Tamandua tetradactyla: one gene and its partners. The main gene of each other region encodes a partner of the protein of the gene in region 3 in a complex. Links are inferred from orthologs where the notes say so. Each region holds a gene or a part of one and is shown on either strand. Other genes may lie near its edges.

Region 1 (3,750 bases), on a different chromosome or scaffold from region 3:
GCGCAGGAGAGTTAAGCCTGTAGACTACAGCTAATGTCTAAAGAGAATACTTTTCAATTCTTTAGATGGGGAACAGGAGGGGTGGCCATGGATGGACACAGAGAACCTTCTTTTATGGCTCCCTCAAAGGATTTTATCACTACTGCCACAGTTAATCCACCCAAAGAACCATCTTATTATGTTTTAGGTTCTCCATTTCCATTCTACCAAGGGAAGTTCTGAACTCTCCTCGGATCTAATGCCTATCACTCATGTGAAGTTGTGAAGAAGTCTTCCGAGACTTTAACGAGTTTATTCTCCCAGAAGGAGATTATAGGTAATAGTACAATTATAGTATTATTCTTTCATCAGTTATAACAAATGTACCATACTAATGCAAGGTGTTAATAAAAGGTGTTAATGATATGGGAACTCTGTATTTTCTGCAATATTTTTCATGCAACTTTTCTAATAAGAAAATTTTGCTTTAAATCCAGTTCCTATGCTTTTACAGATAACAATCTAAAGCATGAAAATACTGAAAAGTTGAAGAAGAAATAATGGGAAGAGTTACATTATGCAAATACTAACCAAAAGGCAGATAGTATAACTATATTACTATCAATCAAAGAAGACTTTGAGACAAATAGCATCATTAAGGATATCATTTCCTTACAATGATTAAAGATTAAGTTTACCAAAACAATATACCAATTCGAAACATGTAGGTACCTAACAAAATAGACTCAACAGATACAAACAATAATTGATAAACCTTCAGGAATAAATTGACAAATACACCATGATGATGGGAGATTATAGCAAATTTCTATCAATAAATTATAGCTCAAGTATCAAAAAAATCCGCAAAAATATAAAAGAGCTGAATAGCACAATTAACAATTTTGATCTGATGGAACACTTAGAAATATTTATTATATATTCAAAAGAACTATAAAAGATGCCTTGGCAAATTTCAAAGAATAGTTATAATATGAAAATAACTGGTTTCCCAAACTCCAGGAATTTAGCCATGACTGTGGGAAAACTGGGGTCCAACCTTAAATGGACTGAAATACATTTTCTGACCTCTAACAGACTAGAGGAAATAGAAATTACTGTGTAACAGAAAAATGTTATAAATCCACACTCCTTGCATATCTGAGTTTGTGGAATGAGAGTTTATCTGCTGTGGGTTTTTTTTTTTTTTAATTGCAAGAACTCTGTAAAATACAATTTTGTGCTCTGATGTTTTTAACCAAATATCACAGAATAGGCCTTTTGACACGCCATTGTTCTTGTATTTTTTCCAGGAATCGCTCCCCAGATCCTAAGTTTCTCTCTCTCCTTCATAAGCCAGATATCAAAAGCCCTCTTCTAAACATAAACTCATGTCAATAAGCAACCTGGAGGTCAACACACCCAGAAAACCAGAATTCCTCTTAGGCTCATTCTGGGTCAAGTCCTTGAACAATTTATTCCAACACTTGCTGCGGCCAAATGCATTTCCTTTTATTAAAGTTTTATTTCACCTTATGGTGAAATAAAACATGGCATCTGTTCCTCAGTCAACTGAAGGTTTAAGATCAGATTGCCTACAGCTCTTCTTTTTTGGATATAGTAAATACTAGCCTTTCTTCCCACCACAAAAACCCATAATCACTATTTCTCTTGATGTTCAGATTAGCAACTGATTCCCCTGAGATTTCTGTAGAAAATTTCCCAGGGGCCTTACCTTACTGGCTCTCTTCCACAACAGCCTAGCTGTGAATTCAGAGTTTCAGGGACGACTGTTAGCTAGAACTAGCTAGAGCTCTTCATTAGTTAGAATGGTGGGCCATGGTAAGAAGAGATTTTGAAAGACAAGGAAAAAGTGCTACTGGCTGTTTCACTTCGAAAGTTAACCAGCTCTTGCATTTAACAATGTGCAGGATTTTAAGGCTCCTCCCATCAAAGTTCTTAACTTTCTGTTTCTTGTCTTAGACAAGTCTGACCAGTTTTCCTCCCAACTTGAAATTTCAGCCAAAGACATTTTAGCATGAAGAAATGAAAGCAAATAGCTCCTTCTCTATTTTGTTTCCTAAATTTTAAGGAAGTTCACAACCTAGAGTACTGGTTCTCACAGTGTGGTCCCCGGGCAGGCAGCATCAGCGTCTCCTGTAAACTTTTAGAAGTGCAAATTTGGAGGCCTTACCTCAGAACTACCGAATCACAAACTCTGAAGATGGCATCCACAAACAGTATTTTAAAAAGCTCTCCAAGGTGATTCTGCTGCACAGTGAAGTTTGAGAACCACTGCTCAAACATTCCTTTTTGTCTTCCATATGGGCCAGTAGATTCCCATAGCCTTGGTTGAGGCTGTTTGTAATTATGGTTAAGTCATGCAGAGAAGTGAGTGAGCTGATAAATCCTGCTAGATAATCGAAGGAGAGGAAGTAACTGGAGGAGATATCGGTGATCATATTAGCATCATGTGTGCTCCATACCTTGGAGCAGGGCAAGGTAGAGCTGAGATAAAGTCTAGATAACCTAACCCAGGGTTTGGCACAAGTTAAGTGTCAGGTCTCCTACAACTATCTCCCACCACAAGTGCTTGTCCTGCATGGTGTCAACCTAAATGTAAAGTAAAAGAAAAGCTGACAGATTGTATTAAGAAATTTAAACTGATATTAAATTCATTCATTTATCTGTCCCTTCATTCAACAGATATTTATTTAGCATTTATGTGCTCAGCTTCATCTCCTGGAAATTTTAAGTAGTTATAGCAGGCTTTCTTAGCTCTCCATTCCTTAAGCAAGAGTTTGGAGGTAGTTATAGTTTTCTTGCAGATGTTTTTTGCCATTGCCTCGGATTGAGTCCTAGCAACTGTAATGAATACAACAGTACTGAAAAATATGAGTTTGCCCTTGGACATTGAGGACTAGTACTTGAACTGCAATATTACTATGGATCGTTTGGGCTGTCTGGTATGCACACGATCTGGAACTCAAATCCCGTAAGAAAAGAGCTCACCATGTCTTGTAGGAACTGAACTCGTCTTGGCCACTATAGTGATCATGCCTCAGGGTTAAGAACGCAGTCCCCATCAAGGCAGACTTTCCACGCAGACTTACAAATAAGCACCTATTATTCCTATCCTGAGTACAGACACTGGCAAAGCCAGCTATCTCAACTCCTCTGGACCCCCATTTTAGGCCCCATTCTAGGGTTCCAGGCAAATTGTAGTTGAACTACATGCATTTTGTATATATAAAATGTATTTTATAAAACTGGGTAGTGCCAAGCTATTCAGTGAGATACTGCTTCTCCAGATGAAACTGAAAGTGTGATTATTCATCTCCTTTCCTAAATCAAGGGATGGTTCTCTGTTTAACATAAAAACATGAAGGATGCAAAAGGTCAGAAGCAACTTTTCAGGCTCAGAACCCCTGATATAAAATGGCCTAGAAGTGAGGAAAAGAAAAAAAATCAAGGCCATGTTCATCTAGCTAGATTTCAGGATCAAGAGGACATTTTGAGCACACGTTTTAATTCCACCCCACCCTTCAAATGCCTCCTTTGTTTCCATCTATTTTATTACAAAATTTAAATCATAAATTTGAAAATAATTTGGGATTCCACAAACCATGCGCATATAATACAGCAAACTTAACTGATAAATGTCATATGTGTTCAGACTGCTCCACTGGCTGGCTGTTCCCCTGTCCCTTTTCCTCTCCTCAGCTCTCCCTATTCCCTGAGACACAACAATATTGAAATAAGACCATTCAA
Region 2 (3,750 bases), on a different chromosome or scaffold from region 3:
CTTAAACTGTTCTACCTCATAGAAACATGTCTCTAATGTAGGCTTAAAACCTAGAAAAAGAAAAATTCAAACACCAAAGGTTTTAACTGACCTGGTATTAGGCCCCAAGAAAATCTCAAAAAAAAAAAAAACCTTTAATGGCAGATGTGAATGGCTTTAATCCCAATGAAATAAAATTAGAAAGGTACAACAAAAGGGTGTAGAACAAGGTGGAGAAAGAGAGAAACGAAAATATAGAAGAAGGGAGGGAGGGAGGGAAAGAAAGAAAAGAAAAGAGGGAAGGAAGGAAAGAAAGAAGGGAAGAGGAAAGAAAGGAGGGAGGGGGGAAGACAGGGAGAAAGGAACGAAAAAAGGAAGGGGTGAAGAATTAAGAAATCCTCTTAGAATTTATAAAGACCCTTTTAAAGGGTGTTAAAGAACTCAAAGCTGAAACGAGGCGGCCAACAGTGAGCAGATCACATCCCAACCCCTGACAACAGGCTTGGTTAGCAAGCCCTTTTTGCTACCTGGAGGTGACTTGTCTGCACACGTGTTAAATCGCAAGTCAAGGGACGATTTCTCAGCCTCCAGAGTCCTGGCCAGGAGGAGCCTCAGGCTCTTTACCAACCCAGGTCCCAGGACCCAGGAGGAGAGAGGGGTTGGCCTGGCCAAGGTCCACCGAGGGTGGGGAGACCTGGGATTTCTATCTCCCGGGTCTGGAGTTTCCAGCGGACCAGCTCCCAGTCCGCCTTCCCAGTTCCCACGGACAGCAGCGGGTGGGGGCTGGGGCCTGCCTTACCCTTCCCCGAGGCCCTGAGGAGCTCCTCGGCCAGGAGGCGCTGGTTGATGGCCCGCAGCACCTGCATGGTCAGCCGCAGAGCGTCCTCCTCCCCGTAGTGGCTGATGAGCAGAGAGGCCACCTTCACAGGCCCGGCCATCTGCAGCAGGCCCCGGGGGATGCGGGGTTGCTCCTTCTCCAGGCTGGTGTTCTGCAGCTTGAACTTGAACTTCTCAAAGTCATAGGGCACCAGGTCCTCCAGGGAGAACAGCAGATGGTCACTGGGGGTCTTGGCCATGGCGTGGACCAAGGAGAGGCCACAGCCGGCCAGGAGCATAAGAGGCCCCTTGTCTGGAGCCCGGTGTCTGAGCAAGAAGAGCCGACTTGAGAAATAACGGAAAAGGCACAGGAAGTGCACCGAGCTTTGGTGGGAACTGAGACTGAAGTCATGGTGTGTCAACACCGGCTGGTGTTCTATGTCTCCAGCTCGGAGGGGGCAGTGTCCTGCAGCCACGCATACCTCCAGGCCCCCCAGCTTTCCCCTCTGCTGCCTAGGCTGCAAAGAGGTGGGCAAGGCGGTGATGGAAGGCCTGGCTGGGTGCCATTCCAGGTTCTTGGTCCTAGGGTGGGCACTCAGATGCTTTGCTCTCTCTTCCTTCCAGGACACAGAGCTGGCGGAGGAGGTGGGGCTGAGAACAGAGCTCCCGGTCCCCCTCTGGCCAGCTGTTCTCCTCCAGACTCTTGGGGTTTCATGGGCCCTCCAGGGCCAAGGGCAAGAGAAGGGACAGCAAATACAGGCCTGCAAGCTTTCCCTGCCCTGTCCAAGAAGGCTGCTGAGGCAGGCAGGACACTGCCAGGAGACGAGCCCTGGTGGCACCTCCGTTGATGCAGTTTCAGCTGTTTGGACCTTCTCACCACGCCAAGGCCTTGAAGTGCAAAGCCTGCGACCACCATCTTGATTTTTTGCTCCTGATTCTGCCTTCACTGGAGGGCAGGGTGGACATTCCCTGGAGCCCCAGGTCACTCTTCCACGCACATCTACCAAACTCAAGTGCCAGGATGCTGGAGTGCGACAGTGAAAACAGACACCGGGTCCTCAAGGGAGTGCAGGCCAGCGTGGAGCCCAGAGGTGGCCCGGACGTCAATGGAAACTCCAGGTGGGGTGGGTTGCTCTTGATTGCCTGCCTCTGTCTTTTTGCACGCCTTGGTTTTTTTACCCAACTTTTTACTTTTAAAAATTATGCAACAACAACAACAAAAATTTCAAAAAAAAAAAAAAACACAAAAATTTCAAAACTACAGAAAAGTTGAAAGCATTATACAATGAACATAACACAACATGTTCTTTACCTGGATTCACCAATTGTTTGCATTTTGCTATATTTGCTGCTTTTTCTTCTCTCTCACACACACACATACACATGCACTTCTTCCCCCCCCAACCATTGGGCAATAGAGAACATTTTCACACATCACTCCAAATGCCCTAAATATTCCCAAGAACTAAGACACAAGGATATTACTTTAAATCCTCATAATACAATTATTACACTCAAGTGTAATATACAATTATAACATTGTTAACAGTACTACAATCAGTCCATAGTCAAATTTTGCCAATTGTACTAATAGTGTCTTTCATAGCTTTTTTTTTCCCAATCCAAGATCCAGTCAAAGACCATGCGTCACATTTAGTTGTCATGTCTCTATAGTCCCCCTTTAGCTAGAATACTTCCACCCTTCCCCAGCCTTCTTTTTTCTTCAAGATATTGATGCAAAGTCCCCTTTGGGGAATGGTGAGAAAGGAGGAAAATTCAACTTCCCCAAGTGAAGAATTCCTGATATTCTCACAAGCAGTGGGGACAACCAAAGCAAAAGGCTGAGCCCTCAATCTTGGGATATGTTCATATGAACCTTAACCCCACAGAGGATAGGCTAAGCCTACTTAAAATTAGGCCAAAGAGTCACCCCCAGAGAACCTCTTCTGTTGCTCAGATGTGGCCTCTCTCTCTCTCTCAGCCAACACGACAAGCAAACTCATTGCCCTCCCCCTCTCTATATAGGACATGACTCCCAGGGGTGTGGATCTTCCTGGCAATGTGGGACAGAAACCCTAGAATAAGCTCGGACTCAGCATTAAGGGATTGAGAAAACATTCTCGACTAAAATGAGGAAGAGAGAAATGAAACAAAATGAAGTGTCAATGGCTGAGAGATTCCAAACAGAGTCGAGAGGTTATACTGGAGGTTATTCTTATGTATTAAATAGACATCACCTTGTTAGTCAAGATGTAATGCAGAGGCCGGAGGGAAGTGCCTGAAAATGTAGGGCTGTGTTCCAGCAGCCATGTTTCTCGAAGATGATTGTATAATGATACAGCTTTTGCAATGTGACTGTGTGAGTGTGAAAACCTTGTGTCTGATGCTCCTTTTATCTATAGTATGGACAGATGAGTAAAACACATGGATTAAAAATAAATAAATAATAGGGGGAACAAATGTTAAATTTAGTAGATTGAAATGCTAGTGATCAATGAAAGGCAATGATAAGGGGTATAGAAAAAAATACGGGAAACACAGGCTAAAATATATTGGATAGATGGAAATACTAGCAATAAATGAGAGGGAGAGGTAAGGGGTATGGTATGTATGAGTTTTTCCTTTTCTCTTTTTCTTTCTTTTTCTGAATTGATGCAAATGTTCTAAGAAATGATCATGGTGATAAATACACCACTATGTGATAATATTGTGAGTTATTGATTATATACCAAGAATGGAATGATCATATGGCAAGAATGTTCCTGTTTGTATGTTGTTACATTGAAAAAAATAAAAGACAAAAAAAAAGATATTGGTGCTTTTGAAAATTCTATTCCAAGAAGAATATCCCTCAAGTGAGATTTATCTGATTTTTTCCTCCTTAGACTGAAGATAATATTCAAGTGTCCTCAAGGTCTTCCCATTATAATATTTTTCTTTGTAATTAATCAATAA
Region 3 (3,750 bases):
GGCAAAAAAAAAAAAAATCAGAGGAGACAAACGAAGGGAGACCTGTAAAATCATTATCTTCCAGCAGAAAGACAGCATCTGATCATCACCAAGCATGGGAGAGAATTCCTCAACAGAAAAAACAACAGCGTAAACTTTATTTTGAAACCGCAGAAAGAAACAACTCACCATGAAGCAAAATGTTCAATGTTCAATCGAACTATTCAGAAGAGGGAGATGGCAGACAATTATTAATTTGCAAACAACAACAACAAAACAGCCAGGAAGCTGGAAGTTGCTCTATTGAAAAGCATGACACTGGCAACTTTTAGTATTAATAACCCCCGTAATTTTCAAAGACAGGCTTGAGCCCGTGGCAAGTAAAATGCCCTTCTCTCTTGAAAGGGGTTAGGGGAGGATTTTTCCCTTTGTGCTCTGATCCAAATCTCAGCACCGAAGCCACAGACTAGGCCCCTCCAACCCCTTCAGTTTTATCTTAAATCAAAGCAGCCTCAGGCTGAAAAGTGGAGAGAGTTTACACAATAAAGGGAAGGTCTGGTCCAACCCTTAGGGGCAACAACCCTTTAGTTCCCATCCCCAGGGCCCTTGGGATCAACAGTGACCAGCAGAGCTGGGAATGATGGTAATACTGAGGTGGGTCCCCCAGGGCCCTGAACCCCAGGCCCTCCTCTGCTTTTTTCAACCTCCACTCTCCCACTCTCTGCCTGTTTCCTGTTTCAATTTTTAAAGGGGTTTCTGCCTTTTCTGTTTTCATGTTTTATATTTTTAACCAGAACACCGATATTCTTACAATAACTATATATATGTTGCACCCTTTACATGAATTATCTCTAATTGTTACAGCAATACTGAGGATTGCTCTCCCATGTTATGGATGGGAAAACTGAGGCTCAAATAGTCACCTGGATTCAACTCAGTCCTACTGGGCTAAAGACAAGGATTTTTCTGCTGTAACAAACTCCCCTACCCCCAGTCCCACCCACCCCAACACAGGATTTGAAAAGAACCATGTGGACGGAGGAGCAACAAATCTAAGTAAAGATAGAGTAATGTAGGAAAAAAGGTCAGAAATTACTGGTTCTCTGTCACCTGAGAAAAAGGAGTTGGTTTAATAATGACAGGAGCTAACATTGATCAAACTGTTTGTGTGCCAGACATACCTAAATAGTTCTTTTGCAACTGCCAAACAATTCTCAGAGGTGCATAATATTTTTATTTCCATTTTATAGCTGAAGAAACTGAGGTTTAGAGAGGTTGAAACCCTTGGCCAAGCTCATTCAGCTAGTGAGTGACAGAATGAAGTCTGCCAAACATGAACCTGACTCTCAACCTTATTGATCTCAGAATTTAATGTAGAGGATTTTAAAACGCGGAGCACTGGAGCTCCCACATGAGCGGAGCTATGGGAGATATGCAGTTTGAGCAATTAGAATAGTGCCTGGACTTGCAGAGTTCTCAATAATTATCCACTACTATTGTTATTTTAGCTAGAAGGTGGGTGCTAATTATTCGGGATATTGCACAGATGAGGAAAGGAAGTTCAAAGTCACTCAGCTGTTGAGAGGCAGGGCAAGGACCTGACCCTAGGAGCTTCCCACCACAGGGCACCTGTTGAGCCCTGTGCACTACTGCCTCCCAGCAGGCAGAGCCTGGCAGAACTGGCCGAGCTGCTGGAAGCATCTGGGGACAGTGCAAAGGAGACTTACATAGAAATCTCAGATATGAGATTTCATTTTAAAAGATACATCCGAAACATTATCACCAGAGATACTGCAAAGATCACCAGTGCTAGTTTTCCTTGGTTTGTTTTGAATGCATTATAAGGCCCTTCCCCCACAGGAAAGTTAAGCTTTCTTAAAGGGCCCCTATTAAGTCCCGGGTACTTCCTTGAGCATCAACATTAGATCTTTAAGAGAAGCTGTTATTCGGAGTGAATGAGTTTTCTACTGTGGGGAGTGCCAGCCGCGCGCGCTCCAGCCCCTTTTCCTTCCTGGGTTTCTCTCGGCTCCCACGGGTCCCGGGCACCCGGGGGCTCCGCCGCCAGCAGCTTCCCCTGCGCCTCGCCGCGCCGGCCGCTGCTTCTCCCCCCTGGGCCCGGGACCGCGCCGCCGCCTGCAGCCTCCCTGCACCTCGCCTCGCCGGGCTGACCCGGCCACCTCTCCCTCCGCCCCCGCCCCTCCGCCTCTCCCCCCTCGGCCCGAGACCCGGCCGCCGCCTGCAGCCTCCCTGCGCCTCGCCTCGCCTCGCCTCGCCTCGCCGCGCCTCGTCGGGCCGGCCCGGCCGCTCTGCCCTCGCCCCCGCGGCGGAAAGTTAAGTTTGACGAGCCGGGAAGAGGAGCCAAGGACCAGAAGAGGAGGATCCACCTGGAGCCGAGGAACCGGACACGGCGGCGGTTCGAGAACTTGTCCTGGACAATTGCAAATCAAACGATGGAAAATTGAGGGTTTCGCAGCTGAATTTGTGAATTTAGAGTGCCTCAGCGTGGCAAATATAACCTTGACTTCAGTTTCAAATTTTCTCAAACTACCTCAGCTGAAAAAACTTGAGCTTAGTGACAGGAGAATCTTGGGAGATCTGCACATGGTAGCGGAAAAACTTCCGAATCTCACACGTCTGGACGTAAGCGGAAATGGTCAGAAGCTGTCAGCACCTTGGGAGCTTTGACCCAGCGGGGCTGTCTGGGGCGCCGGGGCCTGTGGCTGGAGGTCCCCGGCCCCAAGGGCTGCGCGGGAGCCTCAGGCCCGGCTCGCTGACCCACCCCGACGGCCGCGACCGGAGGCCCCGGAGCCCCGACTCGGATGCCCAGGTGGACGGTGTGGCCGAGGACGAAGAGTTTGACGATGGAGAGGATGAAGATGGAGAAGGGGGAGAAGATGAAGATGAAGTCAGCGGAGGGGAGGAGGGAGATTCTGGACACGATGGAGAAGTCGATGAAGGCGAAGGGGGTGAGGATGAAGATGAAGACAAAGAGAGGAAGAAGCGGGAAAGGTGAAAAGACGTAGAGAGAAACAGACGATGAAGGAGAATACTATTAAGACTTCAGATAACCTGCAAAAAAAGAACTGTTCAGTACTGGTTGGACCACTCTTTTGGATTCGGTAGCTGTTTTTTTTTTTTTTTTTTAAAGGTAGCTGTGATACAAACCCTAGAAAACTCGTCCACTCAAAGAGCCTAAGAATAGTTCCTACGGCATTCCCCCTTCCTCAGTCCATCTTAGAAATCTACTGCCAAGCTCAGGGGGTCTCACCCCAATAAAATTGTAAGCGTTGTGAGGTTTTCATGTGAGCCTTTGCTGTAGCATGGCTAGCTGCGCAGGGGATTCCTAACCAGTTACACTGGTTACACTGAGTGTGTAATAGCACTTTTACTTTCTGTACAACAAAGAAGATTTGTGAATAAAATCTTAACTTTTGGGTCTGTTAAAAATTTTTCCTCCTGTGGAGATAAGCCATGAAGAATACCAGACAACAGTGGAAAACAGACAACTGAGGGGGAAGTTGACTGCCACTGCCTAGGAAAAAACAGACCATTTCTAACAATAACGAGGAAATAAACATGTAATGAAAGATCTGTACAAAATGCTTTAGAATAATGTCATCCAAGTAGATGTGTGCATAGAATTGGAAACATCTGAAAACTCCGACACTACCGAACTGTTGCTACTTCAGATTCTTAACTTCTGCCTTATAGTTGACTATTCAGAAGGCCCAACTGGGAAGCTTCATTCAAAATGGCCGAGTTTAAACTTTT

Evidence for each region. Proteins that work in one complex are often made in the same cells at the same time.
Region 1: CASP8 (region 3) and AIM2 share a complex: the UniProt entries of both Homo sapiens proteins name them as parts of the AIM2 PANoptosome complex. The link is inferred for Tamandua tetradactyla from reciprocal best matches to the Homo sapiens genes CASP8 and AIM2.
Region 2: CASP8 (region 3) and MEFV share a complex: the UniProt entries of both Homo sapiens proteins name them as parts of the AIM2 PANoptosome complex. The link is inferred for Tamandua tetradactyla from reciprocal best matches to the Homo sapiens genes CASP8 and MEFV.

Annotation. Positions count from the first base shown.
Region 1 is NC_135330.1:12,188,314-12,192,063, forward strand, and holds the start of AIM2 (interferon-inducible protein AIM2), read right to left. Parts: upstream 2,364-3,750; 5' UTR 1,715-2,363; intron 1-1,714. UniProt on the Homo sapiens protein: Sensor component of the AIM2 inflammasome, which mediates inflammasome activation in response to the presence of double-stranded DNA (dsDNA) in the cytosol, leading to subsequent pyroptosis.
Region 2 is NC_135349.1:54,087,259-54,091,008, reverse strand, and holds the start of MEFV (pyrin), read right to left. Parts: upstream 2,667-3,750; 5' UTR 1,095-2,666; coding exon 779-1,094; intron 1-778. UniProt on the Homo sapiens protein: Involved in the regulation of innate immunity and the inflammatory response in response to IFNG/IFN-gamma.
Region 3 is NC_135329.1:175,796,886-175,800,635, reverse strand, and holds the start of CASP8 (caspase-8), read right to left. Parts: upstream 2,599-3,750; 5' UTR 2,528-2,598; exon of another isoform or gene 2,203-2,527; intron 1-2,202. UniProt on the Homo sapiens protein: Thiol protease that plays a key role in programmed cell death by acting as a molecular switch for apoptosis, necroptosis and pyroptosis, and is required to prevent tissue damage during embryonic development and adulthood.